Linked DNA regions of Oryctolagus cuniculus. The protein of the gene in region 1 interacts with the protein of each later gene in a pairwise test. Links are inferred from orthologs where the notes say so. Each region holds a gene or a part of one and is shown on either strand. Other genes may lie near its edges.

The links.
Region 2: the proteins of GPANK1 (region 1) and CCDC184 interact in binary tests that used the Homo sapiens proteins (3 or more experiments, as listed by UniProt). The two-hybrid records come from large-scale screens. The link is inferred for Oryctolagus cuniculus from reciprocal best matches to the Homo sapiens genes GPANK1 and CCDC184.

What each region holds. Positions count from the first base shown.
Region 1 is NC_091436.1:138,949,070-138,953,528, forward strand, and holds the start of GPANK1 (G patch domain and ankyrin repeat-containing protein 1), read left to right. Parts: upstream 1-1,647; 5' UTR 1,648-1,765; exon of another isoform or gene 1,766-1,991; intron 1,992-2,258; 5' UTR 2,259-2,518; intron 2,519-2,646; exon of another isoform or gene 2,647-2,763; intron 2,764-3,024; 5' UTR 3,025-3,128; coding exon 3,129-3,760; intron 3,761-4,459. Other genes in the region: CSNK2B (casein kinase II subunit beta), read right to left, coding at 733-804.
Region 2 is NC_091440.1:137,729,815-137,732,964, forward strand, and holds CCDC184 (coiled-coil domain-containing protein 184), read left to right. Parts: upstream 1-1,633; 5' UTR 1,634-1,895; coding exon 1,896-2,441; 3' UTR 2,442-2,593; downstream 2,594-3,150.

The DNA.
Region 1 (4,459 bases):
GGAGGCTGAACAGCTTGGTTTCTGAAGGTGGTTAGAATTCCTTATGTCAACACAGAGCTTTGCATGTTACAGAACATTTTAAGGTGCAGTATTCCAATTCTCCTAACAGCCCCCAGAGATAAGCACTACCAGTAGCATTCTAGTAATGAAAAAGCAAAGGAGAAAGGACACTTGGCACGGTGGTTCCTACATGGTTAGAGATAACCCACATCCCAAACTGGAATGCTCAGGTTCAAGTCCCAACTCCACTTCCAATTCCAGCTTCTTGCTAACACACACCCTGGAAGGTAGCAGGGTGATGGCACAAGTACTTGAGTCCCTGCCACCCACATGGGAAACCCAGGTAAGTTTTGGGATCTTTACTTCAGCCTGGCTGGTAGCAGTAGCTGTTGTAGAAATTTGGGACATAAACCAGTAGACAGAAGATCCTTCACTTTCTCTGTTGCTCTACCTTCAGATACTTTAAGTACAATAAAAAAATTAAAAAAGAAAAAGAAAAAAAAAAGATGGTCTGACTAGTTCAATGTTATCCTCCTGGGGGTGCGGTGGGGTGTGTGACAGAAATGGGACTTGGGCCCCAGTCTTGCCACATCGCCGCTGATTAGTGGGGGGTTACTGAGGGGACCCCTTCTTTCACGGGAAGGAGTTTCCACGGGATAAAGTGTGCAAAAGCTGAAGATACCCAACCTGAACGCATGGAACCAGCGAGTAGGAAGAACGAAAAGCACTCACTTCACAGAAGAATTCATTGCCACGGAGCCCACAAAACCAGGAAATCCAGGACACTTCCTCCGAGCTGCTCATCTTCACGTCAGCTGGAAACAGGAGTCAAGTCCAAGCTCTCCCTCCCCGGCTCTGGCACCTTCCCTCCTCCCACACTCTGTCTTTCAGCCATGGAAGAATTTGGGGCCACCCTTTTTTTTTTTTTTTTTTTTAAAGGATCCCAGCCTTTGGGACAGGCTTCTCTAGCTCTTGTTATTTACACCTCGGCCCCTTTTCTCTGAATGAACTTAGAAATTCCTTGGCAGGAGCCCACAAGTACCGACCCAGCAGTCCCTACCTACATCCCCCGCGCCCCCGATGGCCAGACCCCTCTCGCCTGTGTCAACTCTGGCAGAGTCCTCGGCTCGGGCTCCCTACCACCGCAGGGCTCCGGCACCCTTCCCCAAGAATTAGAAGTTTATCTTTGCCAAGCAACGACCGACACCTCCTTTTCTCACGACCCGGGGCGAGGGGCGGGCACCGCCAGGTACTCTTTCACGGAGTCCCCACAGCCTGCCTCCCGCTCTCCGGCCACCCTTCCCTCCCACGGTTACGGACCGGGTCACTTCCTTCCTCGCCCCCACCTCAAGGCGGGGAGACCCCATGTGCCGCTCCTAGGGACCGGGAACTCCGCGGGGCAACCACTTCACACTCACCAGCTGGACGGGGAGCGGGACCGGGGTGGGGGAGGGGAACAGCTGCTTCCAAAGAACGACGGCGACCGCTACAGCGAAGGCCGCGGACCCGACCGCGGCAGGCGAAGTCGGGTGGGGGGAGTGGAAATCGGGGAGGGTGGGGAAGAGGGCAACGCGCAAGCGCCGAGGGGCGAGAGCCGCGGTGGACGCTGGGAGATGGAGTCCGCTAGGGCGAGAGACCGGCGAAGCGAGGGAAAAGCGAACTACGAATCCCAGGACAGCTCACTCACGACCCTCGTGTCGCGAGGCCCCCGAGGACGCGGCTCGGGGGCGGGGCACAGCGAGGCGCCACCGGAAGCGGAAGCCAAGTAAGGCGTTCGGGGCCAGGAGCCTGGGAAATAGAGTCGTATGCTCACTGGACTGAGGGGCCAAGAGGGGGCGGGGGAAGAAGCGAGGCGAGTCGGGTCGCAGACGTTGCCCTCGGGGACCCTCAGTGAGCCCTGGCCAACCCTCCTAGTTCTTATCAAGTCGGGCACGGCCTTGCACAGGAGAGCCCCACGTTTTACCCTGAGCTCGGGCCTTCTGAGGTGGGAGGTACGAACGGGCTCCGTGCTGAGGGACCTGGGTCGGGTGTGTCTGTCCTGAGTTGAGCGTTATTGACAACCAGGACGGCCCGGTGCGCTAACCTGAGGCGGCGCCGGCCATCCTGCTGCTCGTCCCCTTGCACTTCTCCATTTCCTCCCAGGGCTTGAATGGGGTCTTCAGCTGAGGGCTCTACGCGTGCCCTTCGAACCTGCTCCGAGTAATGGTGAGGGGGTAGTGTGGCGTTATTTCATTTCACAACTTCTCGGCCTTCCACAGGTTTCCCTCCGTCTCAGGCACTTTCTTAAGCCAGAAGCTGGCTTCCCAGGTTCAGAAAATGAGCTTGGAGTGGGGGCCACGTTGAGGGAGGCGAAGGGCATTGTGGGGGCGTTATGTAAAAGCAGGACCCCCCCACCCAACCGACGGATCGTCCCGGGTCCTCGCGCCAAAGGGGCACGTGAGGCCCTGGGCATAAGCTGTTGAGAAGGTTCCAGGGCGGGAATCCGGACCCGGCACTTTGCGCACGCCTGTGCGCCCAGGTGAGGCGGGGTGCTGTTTGGTTGTTGCTATGCATGCGTGCTTGTGCTGTGTGGCTATTTGATTGTGCCAACGCTTTTGATTAGAATAGCGCCATTTTGCAGTATGGAAGCAACCCAGACTGCACCGTCCCGAAGTCTTGAAGTCTTCCCGAGAAGCGTCATGACTTCTCGGCTTCCTTTGGGATGAGGAAACCCCAAAGTAGGATCCAGGAAGATTTAAAGGGCCAGGCTGATTTTTCGTGATGGTGTGTCTTACGGGATAGGAAAGTGGTATTGGAGAGGGGCTAATATTTGTTGTTGGGGGAAGGTGGAACTAAGACCTCAGGATGACTGCCTGGGAGTTTTCGTTATTAACCTTTAACAGTAGGCAAAGTGTGTTATCGTAGTGTTCTGTGTTTTCATCTGAGACCTAGTGCCCTTAGGGTGTCACGTCCTAGATTGTAGGGTCAGTTTTGGAGGGGCGAAGATGGTTTTGATTTTAAGGCTGTTTTTCCTGTTGCCCACAGGTCCCTGGAGGTGGCTGTGGCCACTGCAAGGGCCACTAGGAAGTTGATTTGTCTGTCTCATCCTCCCCTGGCCCAGCCTCATTCTCTCAGTTCTTGGAAAGGCTATGTTCAAGCCCTCCCTCATCTCATTCACCCCAGCTACTGACCCCAGTGACCTCTGGAAGGATGGGCAGCAGCAGCAGCAGTCACAGCCTGAAGAGCCAGAGGCCGCCCTGGATGGGGCTACTGCCAGAGCTTTCTACGAGGCCCTCGTCAGGGATGACAGCAGTGCCCTTGAGCCCAAGGCACCTCAACCTGAGCCTGCACAGGAAAGAAAGAGGAAGAGGAGAAGAACTATGAGGGAGACAGCAGCAGAAACAGGGTCTGCAGGAGCACCGGAAAGACATGGACAGTGGAGATCCCCTGAGGCCGAGGACAAGATGACCCAGCGGATCCTGAGGGCAGCCCAGGAGGGAAACCTGGCAGAACTGCGAAAGCTGTTGGAACCCCATGAGGCAGGGGGAGCTGGAGGGAATATCAACGCCCGGGATGCCTTCTGGTGGACTCCCCTGATGTGTGCTGCCCGGGCGGGCCAGGAGGCTGCTGTGCGCTATCTCCTGGGCCGTGGGGCTGCCTGGGTGGGCGTCTGTGAGCTGAGTGGCAGGGATGCTGCTCAGCTGGCCGAAGAAGCCGGCTTCTCCGAGGTGGCTCGCGTGGTCAGAGAGAGCCATGGAGAGACAAGGAGCCCAGAGAACCGGTGAGAGGCCCATACCCACTTTCTGTTTGCTCTGCCCCTTCTAGCTGCTCCACAGCAGAGGCCCCAGAAAAGAATTGAAGGGGTCTCTGCATCCTCCAATGTAGGTTGATATGGTAGTGTAGTAGAGTGCTTATAAGCATGAGTTCCTGGATTTCTTTTATTTTTTCATTTTTATTTTATTTTATTTATTTATTTTTTTGACAGGCAGAGTTAGACAGTGAGAGAGACAGAGACAGAGACAGAGAGAAAGGTCTTCCTTCCATTGGTTCACCCCCCAAATGGCCGCTACGGCCGGCGTGCTGCACCAATCCGAAGCCAGGAGCCGGGTGCTTCCTCCTGGTCTCCCATGTGAGTGCAGAGCCCAAGCACTTGGGCCATCCTCCACTGCCTTCCCGGGCCACAGCAGAGAGCTGGACTGGAAGAGGAGCAACCGGAACAAAATCTGGTGCCCCAACCGGGACTAGAACCTGGGGTTCCAGCGCTGTAGGCGGAGGATTAGCCTAGTGAGCCGCGGCGCCGGCCTATATTTAATTTAAAGATTTATTTATTTATTTGAAAGTCAGAGTTACACAGTGAGAGAGAGGTCTACCAGCTGCCGCAGCAGCTGGAGCTAGGCCGATCCAAAGCCAAGAACCAGGAGCATCTTCTGGGTCTCCCACGAAGGTGCAGAGGCCCAAGGACTTGGGCCGTCTTCTACTG
Region 2 (3,150 bases), on another chromosome or scaffold:
GATGAGACTGGAATGAAGGAACAGAAAGCTAAGGTGGTTCCCAGAGGATGAGAGAAAGGCAGGAGGCAGAGGGCAGGCGTTATTTTCTCCTGCCATCTGGCAGTTCCTATGAATACTCTAGGAAGTTGCCTGGGGCACCCATCAGCCCCCACCTTCTGCTTGGGGGTGGTTCCATGCACTATACTCCAGGGCACTGGGGTGCACAGGGCCCAGCTGGGGAACCCAGGCAGCTCAGAGGCTACCCGTGGATCTCCGGAGTCCAGCTCCTTCTCCCATTTTCTCCTTGTCTCAGTTTCACACAGAATTCCTGAAAAGATCTGGTTCTGAATCCAATGCACCAGCTGGCCCACTCCCTGCGCTCCCACCTACCCTTAGCTCACAAGCGGCTGACCTGGAGCTTGCTGAGGTCAGCCACCCCGCCTTGACCTGCGCACCTGTTCCCAGGGGGCTTTTGTGCATCCCCAATAATTTCGCCTCTGGGACCTCACGGTCACTGCCTCGGGCAGCGTGGTGTAATCTGATCCAAAGCCTTTACAAACTTGGTGTGCTCACTAACAGCAGCAGAGGGCTGGCATAACCCAGCTGCCACCCACGGGGTAACGTGAGGGATTGTCAAGATGGGAGCAAGGCAGGGCGAGCGAACCAGCGAGATGAAACCGTGCGACGCGCTGGCCGAGAGCTGAGAAGGCAGGGGCTCAGCCCCGCGAGCTTCAGGGTCCCTTCCGGCTACTCAGCACTCTCCTGGGGAGGATGAGTGCGAGGTGAACCCACAGCCTCTGAGAACATGATAAGCGACTGGTGCAGCGCCAGCGCAGCTGTTTTTAATGGGTCCTGCCCGCTCCTGGCTATCAGAAAGCCGTTCTGTGCACACCAGGCAGACTCGGCTCTGCTTAGCGCAGCGTTTCTGCGCTGTCCGACGCTTTAGGAATCACTTACAAAGTTCTTACCCACGCGGAGGGCACAGGAGGTGAGAACTGCAAGCAGTAAGGAAGGAATGGACAGCGGATAGGACTGAACGGGCAGTCCGGGAAGACGCGCTGGTAGGAGGTTTTTCACGTTCAGTGTATTCGAATGGCTGCACAAGACTATGAGCGACGCCTTCGACTGATGGACATCTGCGATATTCCCAACCGCTCGGGCACCAATCGCTGGAGCACCGGCCTGGGCGGCCTCGGGCTGCGCGGCTGGAGCAGCAGGACTCCGCGCCCGGCTCCCGTCCAGGAATTCGGCCGCTCGCCCGAACTCCAGTGCTGGCTGCGGACCCCTCGCGGCCTCCTCCCCGCCCTCGCCCTCAGCCAGGCAAGGTTCCGGAGCGGCCGCCGCAGAACACGAGCGGCGCGGGCCTCGGCACACGCGGCGTGAAAAAAGACCGAGTAGAGGCCTCTTGAAACGGGCTCCCCGGGAACGCCGCAGTCGCCGGCCGCACTCCGCGCCCGCTCACGGCCGTGCCGAGCGCCACACGAGAGCGGGCGACACGCAACACGCCGCCCTCGCGAGGCCCGCCGCGCGGCACCCGCTCCCGCACACCCGGCGGCCCCGCCTCGCCCACTGCGGCGCCCCGCCCCTCTCCCCGGCCGCCGCACGTCCTGGTTGCCACGGAGACACGTCACGTACGTGCCGTGCGTCGCCTTGGAAACGGCAGCTCGGCGCGCGGCCGGAGCCGCGCCCCCGCCGCCCGGGCCGCACTCGCGGGCGCCGCCCGTGCCTGGAAAGGGGTCGGGAGCCCCGCGCGGCGGCCTCGGCCTGGACGGGACCTGCGGGCGCGCGCTGCGCGGGGCGCGCTGACTCGGGCGCGGTCCGGAGGCGAGGCGTGCAGGGCGCGCGCGGGAGGCGCCGGCCCCGGTACCCCCGTAGCCGCCGCCCGGCGAGTCCGAGCTGGACGCGCCCCCGACCCCATGGAGGACGGCCCGCTGGAGCTCATGACCAAGGACGGCGGCGACGTGCCGGCGCCCCTGGAGGTGTCCAGCGTGCCGGCCGTGGGCGACGTGCTCTCGGGCGAGTACAACGGCGGCATGAAGGAGCTGATGGAGCACCTGAAGGCGCAGCTGCAGGCCCTGTTCGAGGACGTGCGGGCCATGCGGGGCGCCCTGGACGAGCAGGCCTCGCACATCCAGGTGCTGTCGGACGACGTGTGCGCCAACCAGCGGGCCATCGTGTCCATGTGCCGGATCATGACCACGGCGCCCCGCCAGGGCGGCCAGGGGCGCTGCGCGGGCACCCCCCGGGAGCCCGAGTGCCCTGCGCCGGGGGCGGTCGCCAGCGAGGACCCGGAGGACGGGAACGCCGAGGAGGAGAAGGAGCGGCCGTGCCCCGCCGCTCCCGCCGGCCGCCGCGAGCGCCCCGAAAGCCCCCGCGCAGGCAGCACGGCCGCGCCGCCGCTGGAGCCCCGAGACCCGCCCGACGCCGCCCTGCTGCGGCTGAGGGGCGAGGCCGCGCTGTGAGGCCCCGCGGGCGCCCCCCGGCCGCTGCGGGTCGGACGCCGCCCTCCGACGGCTGCTCGCGGTCCTGGCCGAGGGGCGCCCTCGAGGCGGGGTCTGTTGGGCGCAGGCCCGTGGGAGCTGGGGCCGCTCCCGCCGCCGGCCGCGGAGCCCTTGCGGGCTGCGCAAAGGTGAGCTTGCGGGAGAGGACGCGCCGGCCCCTGCCCTGCCCGTCCCTCCCCAGGTGGCGAGCGGACCGCTGGCCTGTGTAAATAGCACCCTGCCTTTTCTATTCACGACAAGGACTTCTCTAGGACGGTGGCAAACAATCTCAAACGATTTGCCTAGAAATTAAGGAATCGGGGGTGGGGGGGATTCTCTTCTGCCCCTCTGTTGAGTCCAAGACACTCGGTGCTCCGCAGAAACCGCCGCCCCCACCCCGCCGCAAGTCTGCGCTGCCGTTGGTAAAGGGAGCCCAGGACCCGGGTGAATGGGGTTCCCGGGGCGGGCGGGGAGGCGCTGGCTGCGAATGTGCATGAAGACACGGGAATAGCGCAAGCTCTGGATTGTGCATGCAGCGCGGATCCCGCCCGGTCGCTGACTTCGCCTGGGACTGCTTCTCCTCTCGCTGGGGTTAGAGAACAAAGAGCCCAGCTCGCAGCAGCCCAGATGCAGGGGACGTCTGAGGGACTCTTGGGGTCTGCAGTCAGAAACTGTCTCTCCTAGCCACACC